2 linked regions of the Oryzias latipes genome follow. The protein of the gene in region 1 purifies or fractionates together with the protein of each later gene. This does not show direct contact. Links are inferred from orthologs where the notes say so. Each region holds a gene or a part of one and is shown on either strand. Other genes may lie near its edges.

The links.
Region 2: the proteins of rexo4 (region 1) and rrs1 purify together in Homo sapiens (co-immunoprecipitation; 3 studies listed by BioGRID and IntAct, with this or other methods). This does not show direct contact. The link is inferred for Oryzias latipes from reciprocal best matches to the Homo sapiens genes REXO4 and RRS1.

What each region holds. Positions count from the first base shown.
Region 1 is NC_019877.2:8,248,942-8,253,445, forward strand, and holds the start of rexo4 (RNA exonuclease 4), read left to right. Parts: upstream 1-1,698; 5' UTR 1,699-1,970; coding exon 1,971-2,186; intron 2,187-2,299; coding exon 2,300-2,619; intron 2,620-2,691; coding exon 2,692-2,838; intron 2,839-3,877; coding exon 3,878-4,071; intron 4,072-4,173; coding exon 4,174-4,262; intron 4,263-4,344; coding exon 4,345-4,419; intron 4,420-4,504. Other genes in the region: pigp (phosphatidylinositol N-acetylglucosaminyltransferase subunit P), read right to left, coding at 16-88, 1,085-1,166.
Region 2 is NC_019878.2:17,066,176-17,069,576, reverse strand, and holds rrs1 (ribosome biogenesis regulatory protein homolog), read left to right. Parts: upstream 1-1,541; 5' UTR 1,542-1,611; coding exon 1,612-2,628; 3' UTR 2,629-2,749; downstream 2,750-3,401. UniProt on the Homo sapiens protein: Involved in ribosomal large subunit assembly. May regulate the localization of the 5S RNP/5S ribonucleoprotein particle to the nucleolus.

The sequences.
Region 1 (4,504 bases):
ATTGTTGCTACTTACTTTTGAGGCCAATAAGTGAGCCCTATAGAATGAAGCCATTCCTCTGGTATGTATGCCCACAAGCAGTACAGAACTTTGGGAAAAGAAACAGAACAAACATATTTTATTAAGAGAATTCTTTGATACTCTTTTAGGATAGACTTTTTTTTCAAATTGTTCACGAACTATTTTTACTTCTGTTCTGTTACATTATCTTACATTTATGTATAAACATATGTCCTTTCATTTCAATTTATTTTTAAATCTGATGCTTTTTCATACAGAAAGACCATCCAACCAATAAAAAAGACAACCTTTGAGGAAAGTGTAAATATTCATTTATAAGCAACAGAGTTATGTGATATTCCAAATTGAAATCTTTTTAGAATTATTGGGATTATTAGAAGAATTTTCTTTTAAATGAGAAAAAGACAATCCAATTTAAAAGTTAAACAAGACTTCTTCATTTGGCTTAATACAATTTTGCCGACTTATTAAATTGTGTAGTTTTAAGCCTAAATATGAACATAACAGGCCTATTAAAAAAATCCTACTTTTTACCCAAAACAACAACAACACACAACTAGCGTTTTAAAGTAATTTACAATATTTAAGTCACTACCATCCTGCCATCTTTCAGCTGAATTTTTAAAAATATATATAAACACAATAACCTTTTACTAATGTATACCTTGAGATATAAATAACTTAAAAAAAACTAATTATTGAAAGAATTCTATTGAGAAAAAAATCCAAAAAGGCTTGTTTTTTTTAAGTGAAGTCACATTGAATTAATGGCAGTCTGTTTTTCAGGTGGTCAACTATTTATCACCCTAGTAGTAAGGAGATTTAAATCTCCACCGAGAAACGGTTATTCTATTTTAACTCAAGTGAGTCGTCCTGCACATTTACAAATTTCAATGAGATTAGATTTATGGCAACATAAACAAAAGGAACAGAATGTCTTTGCTATATTACCAAGAGCCGTAGAGATAAGTAATTCCACAACATTTTACGTTGAATGACATCTTCTGCAAATAGAACTATGCTTCTAATTTGAAAGAACATGATGTGATGGGACTTAACTTACAGAAGCCAAACTGGGAGCCAAGGAAGAGAACAAACCCATAGATTGCTCTCTCTGGCATAGGTGATGGGGAGTTTTCAACCATGATCTGAAACCAGAACACAAACAGACCATCTATTGGGTAAAATAATCGAAAATAAACAATGACAAAAAGTCACTAAACTTACCGACAGATAATAAGTGTATTTTGGTTCGTAAGAAGAGCAGCAAGTTTACAAAAACCCCTAAAAACAGTTTAAATGTTTCTCAAATAGCTTGTTTATATCGTACCATCAGCTAGGTTCAACGATAGATAAAATCCAATTCTACTATTTCAAACGAAACATAAATAAAAATGTAAAAAGTGCATCTAATCATATTACGCCAAAACCTAGCTGACTGCTGTCAACAAAACGTTAGTCCATCACCTAAATGAGTTCGGTCAGAAACTGTACATCAGGAACAAAAGACTTTAAAGAAATAAAGCAAAATTACATATCAATCTTGTGTTCTTTGTTAGTAATGTATAGATATTAAAAACTATTTTCAAGCTTGAAAAAAGAAAGAAATAAAAAAATCAACGAAGGGAGAACTTTCTGCCGCTCGAACGAATCATGTTACTTTTTTCCTGACGAACATATTTGACTGTTACTCATTCCAGAAGCACCGCAGCATGGCTTCGTGAATGTGAAGGTAAACAACTTGAAACATAATTTTTCCCTGTTTGGGAGGATAATAAAGTGGCTATTTTTGCTAATAGAAACAGTGTGTGCCCTTTATCTGGGATACATATGTATGTGACACAGCGTTAACTGTTTTCGTTTACATCTCACCTAAAATTGGCTTCTTTCAAAAACGTGGCTGTGTAACACAGCAAATACTCCCTGAAGTTTAAAGAAGTGCGACCACGATGTCTAAAATCAAAGGAAAGGAAACTCCTGCTGGAAAAACGCAACAGCTGACGTCCAAAGAAAAAAGGAAGAAGTTTTTTATAAAGCATAATCGTAAAAAACAAACTTCCCAAAAGACTCTAAACAAGAAAAATCTAGAAAATCCTGGAGCAAAGCAAACTGCACCACCACAGGATCCCCAACAGTTTTCTTCCAACTGGAAAGCATTACAAGAGGTTTGTCTGACGAATATTAAACTCTATGCTCTTCATAAGCTGTGCAACTACTTATGTGAAAATGTATTTACTTTTAAAATGTAATTATCTTCTTTGTTTCCTGAACATGGCAGATCTTAAAGAGCAGTCAGCCAGAGAAGAAGCAGCCTGTTACACCAAAACATCGGAATGGTGTCTTCCCTAAGAAGTTTAAAGGAAATGAGCCTAAAAAGTTTCAAAATAAGAGCCCTGCTCCCAGCCAGGTGCACACAGACAGAGAGGGAAAAGTCAAAAGTGGCGATGCCCCAAAGGAGGATGGGGTGAAGGCAAAGATCCACGCCGCCTTAGACAAACTGCAACCTGGTGGTGCAAGGAAAAGGCAAAACGAAAAGACAGACAATGAGAAACCAGCCAAGAAAAAGAAGCCCGTCACTGAAGAGAGGAAACCCACAGAGTATGTATCCTTATTGCTAATACTTGACTTCAGTTCGGGTTTGCCTTGTAATCTTTGCTTGTGCTGCTGTAGGGAGGACCTTTGGTTTGATGACGTCGACCCTGACGATATTGAGGAAACGATGGGAGCCGAGGCTGCAGAGATCATGAGGAGGAAACAAGGCATGAAAACAAGCAAGAACGTAGATAGCGTTCTGGTAAAAGAGAACGCCTTTGATGGGTAAGAGAAACTGTTTTGTGTTCTTACGGTCAAAATGCCACACCTTCATTTGCTATCGATCAACTCTAGTTGAAATTCACCTTTCTTTATAGAGCTCTTTTCCTGTTAAAAAACACCTCAAAGTCTTTTACATAAATAAATAATAATTATATTAGTATTTATAATAAACACATGTTGTGTACAAAAACTAGCAGGAAAAAATAATCCATAAAATCAAATTAAAACATGAGGAAATGTAAAATCGACATAAAAGCTAAACTAAAAAGGTGAGTTTAGGCCAAAGTTCTGCCATGTGGCCTCGCTGTGGGTTTTTGTTTATGACCTCAGGGAGCACCAGCATAACTGGATCTGAGGGCTCTGGGAGGGTCGTCTGCTAACACCAGCTTGATTAAAATTAAAGTGCAATTTCATTAAACTAAGAAAAGTACCTTAAAATCGATCCTAAAGCTGACAGAGAACCAGATATTTCAAATTTGGAGTCCTTCTTTTTGTCCTGATATTTTTTGATAATTTTTGCTCAACAATCATTATTATAGTATATTGTTTTAATCTCATCTGCTGCTCTTCTTCATCATTGTTTTCTTGGTCGGATGTGTAAAAGTGTTGAAAAAGTCCATTCCTAGCAACTCTTTAATCTAGTGGGATACTTCCCGTGTGTGTTGCTCTCTTTGGGCATAAGTATGAGTCTTAAAATCGTCGGATTGTTTCGCAATTGCTTCCTGATGAATATGCAGCCATAGCTGTTGCAGAGTTTATGCTCATCTCAACCTGCAGCAGACTGGCTCCAACAGACTCCCTAAGTGGAAGTAGTTGGAAAAACAGCCGTTGCCTTTTTAAACAAGTTTTTGAAAAAATCGGTATAGTTGTCAGTTATACCCCAATAACATCAGATGTTCTCTTACTTCTCTCAAAAGAGAAAATGATTTAATAATGTTTCAGGTGATTTCTGTGGAGAAACTTTAAAACGGGCAGCAGAAAGACTGGACTGTTTCATTAGATGACCTTTTGTTTTCTCCACGTTTGTACGTATGAATATCAGCATCACCAAAGCTGTAGCTATTGATTGTGAGATGGTGGGAGTCGGTCCAGATGGGGAGGACAGCATCCTGGCACGTGTGTCCATCGTGAACCAGTTTGGAAAATGCATCTATGACAAATATGTCAAACCCACAGAGAAGGTGACAGACTACAGAACAGCTGTCAGTGGGATCCGACCGGAACACATTAAAAATGGTAAGAAAACGAGACATCACTGTATACTTAGATGTTTATTGCTTTCAAACAATCCTCTGTGCTTTTGAACAGTGTCAAAATGTGATTTTTTTTTTTTTACAGGGGAGGATGTGCATGTTGTGCAAAAGGAGGTGGCTGAAATTCTGCAAGGAAGAATTGTGGTTGGTCATGCAATTCACAATGACTTAAAGGTATTGTGTTGCCTTAAAATAAATGTGTGCTCCAATAAAACAGCTGTAGCTCTCCTCTTACAGAGTCTGTCAACTGTTTCAGATTCTTCTCTTGGATCATCCAAAGAAGCACATTCGGGACACTCAGAAGTATAAACCCTTTCGGAAGACTGTAGGGGTAATTATAGAAAGTTCTTTTGTTTTTACTGAGACTTACTGGTAGATCGTCTGTGGAAGGTTCCAGACCTCATCTTAATAAGAAC
Region 2 (3,401 bases), on another chromosome or scaffold:
TTCAGTTCCCGCACTAAACTCCACATTGTTCCTGGTGGTTAGACTTGGTTTGGCGCCATGTATGTAGCAGAGGCAGCACCAGTGTGGGAATGTGAGTGTGTATGCGACTATAAAGCGCTTTACACTTCAATTAAGGTAGTGAAGCATCATATGATGAGCACCATTTATCATGACAGTTATTGTAAGAAGGTGTTTGCAAAAGTGTCCTGCGACAGACTGGCGACCTGTCCTGGGTGTGTCCCACCTTCGTTCAACAGTGGCAGGGTTAGGCTACGGCATCCCCATGACCCAGAAAGGGTTAAAGCAAGAAAAAGAATGGATGGCTAGATGTGTAAAATTATTTTTTGATATTAATATTGGCAAGAAAAGTCATAGAAGTTTTACCTTTTTTCTGAGAACAAGTATTCCCTTAGTCAGGTGTGTATTGTAGCCATTTGGCTAACATTATATATTGTATTTATATTCCATGCATGGATGCTCCTGTCCTGCCTTGGTCATTTAGCCATTTGAGTTCCCTGTTGATGGGTGCATTTTGGAGATTGCCATGTCTTTATTAACATGCGTTTGGATTTTAGAACTTTGGAAGCATGACATTATATTATTCTTAGGCCATGTTCAGACTTTTGAATGCTATTTTGGGGGGTTTTATTGTAATTTTTCACTGTTTGAGTTCACAAAATATTTGACAAAAAAGGAAGAACATTGACCGTTTCTTATGAAGCAAGCATCAGATACGAGGCAGTTCCTGTTCCCCAAAACACCTGAATGACAGCAGTTATAGTGTTTTGTAACCTACAAAAAATATTGAGGGATAAATTAGGCTTATATTTTTTAAAAGATTAATATTTTAAGCTCTGCCAGGTGACACAACTGAAGGAAACCAAAATTATCGATGCCAACTCACTTTAAATGTGTATTTAAATAAATATCACAACTGAATGTCCATAAAATTCAAAAACAAGTATTGCAAACATGGTTTTATTTTGAAAAATTTTGCATATTTCTTAGCTTGACTGTATTTTGACACATAGAGTTGAAATTTTGTTGAACTGTCACCGATGAACTGTAACTGACTTTTTACCCCAAAAAAAATGCGTTTACATGTTTTTTTCTGTCTAGTTTAGCTAAATATATATCTTTTTAAATAATGTATATACACCCATCTGGAGCTTCTGTGACTGTCATCATCTGTGGTTTGATGTCTGTAGTCCACCTGTTGAAGCGCCCTAAGGCTACAGACTGAACTTAAACTTGACCCTAGTGTTCATTGGTGTGAAAAAGAGAAAAGAGCTTAAAAATGTTGCATGAATGTGGCATGAATTTAGATTTTTTTTATTAATATAGTGTATTTTATGTGTGTGTTATTATAACAAGTTGTATACATTGCATTAATTTGTTTGTTTTTTATTCAAATTTAAATGTCAAATTAGTGGAACAACATTGCCCTCTGGCAGCCAAATTCTGTATTATACAAGAAAATAAAACAACACTTCCCCCTGATGGTTACCGGTGGGAATTAGGCAACACTGCCTCGTGCGGTGAGACAATGAACTACACCGTGACCCGGAAGAAGACTCCTGTTGTTGCCCCACGTGTGTAGTGGTCGAAATCATGGCTGCGTGCAGCGTGGAGGAGCTGTTAGCGAAAGCCGAACAGGAGGAGGCTGAAAAACTGAAGACCATCTCCGTCCAGAAGGAGCTGGATTTGGACTTTGACGTGGGAAACCTGCTAGCTTGTGACAAAAACCGCATCGAGTCCAGGGACTTCAAAGAGCAGAATAAGGAAGACTTTCTCCGGTCGCTGGCCCGCGACAACACGCAGCTTCTTATCAACGAAATCTGGAAGGTGCCGACCGAGAGGGTCGAGGAGGCGATCGTAGCCAAACTACCGGAGCCGACGACCCGGTTGCCCAGAGAGAAACCTCCTCCGAAGCCCAAACCCCCGACGAAATGGGAGCAGTTCGCCAAACTGAAAGGCATCCAGAAGAAGAAGAAGACGAACCTGGTGTGGGATGAAACGGCCAAGGAGTGGAGGAGGCGCTGGGGCTACAAGAGGGCCAACGACGACACCAAAGACTGGCTGATCGAGGTTCCGCAGACCTCCGACCCGAACGAGGACCAGTTCGCCAAACGCGCCCATGCCAAGAAGGAGAGGGTGGCAAAGAACGAGTTCAACAGACTGAAGAACGTCGCCAGATCTCAGAAAATAAAAAACCCCGGTGTGGGGCTGCTACCCCGAGCCAAGCAATCCAAAGACGAGCTGAGCAAAGCTGTGAGCGTGGCCAAAACCTCCACGGCATCCGTGGGCAGGTTCCAGGATCGCCTCCCAAAGGAGAAGCCCCCCAAGAACGCAGGCAAGAGGAGGAAGTTTGAGCCCCTCATCGGGGACTTCTCCAGCGAGAAGCACAAGCAGCTGGAGCTCCTGAAGGTCATGGACAGCAAGAGGCCCAAGCTGGACATCACCAAAGCCGTCAACAAACAGATGAGAGAGGAGGACAGGGAGGAGGCTGCGTCCAGGAAGAAGGGAGGCAAAGGGGGAGCCACCCGGAGGCCCAAGGGGAAGGGGGGCAAAGGAAAAGGAGGCAAAGCTGGAGGAGGGAAGAGGAGAGGGAAACCTGGGAAGCGCTGAAGAAATTCTCTACATCCTGCTGCTGCAGAGCTGAACTCTGAGGACCGATTCCTGCTCCCCATAGCTTTTTGACTGTACTGTTGACAGAAAAGCAAATATATTCTACAATTTAAATACAAAAGTCTGCCGTTTCAGTTTTTTTTTACCTCCAATAAATGTCATATGGTTTTCAAAAAAAACTTATTTCCAATGAAAAGCTAATTTTAAGATTAAAAGAAATTCTGTTGCATTTTTCTCATGATGGAGGACATAAATAAAGAAATTTTAGATTAAAACTGCATTATTGAGTATTTCTTTATTCAGATCCTTGTGAATCAGGAGCAGACAGAAAATGCTGTTTGATAAATCCCTCAGTTGTAACGTAGAAACTGAACTGGGCAGACCAAAGTCTCCCTGCTCCGCCTCCACTTGCACACAAAGATGTAGAGAAATGTGAGGCGCTGTAATCTAGTGGGAGAGCGTGTAAACATGGATGACGGAAAGTGGGGGTGGACATACTCTGCAGCAATAGTTCCACCTACTGATGAACTGCTGCTCTGCACAAATTCTTCTCTAGAAAACAGCATTTGATTTTTCTATTTAGCCTAAAAACGGCATAGTCATAGTTGAAAAGACCGCTAGGAACACCCTGACAAAAGCGGATTGGAGTGGGAATTTAAAATCAAACTGGAATAGAATTGCTTTCTTTTTTTATCGTAAATTGTCTCAAGAAGGCTGCCTATTTTTCTTTTGAAAAGTACATATTTGCAGTTCTTTTTTTAAATATCTGAAAA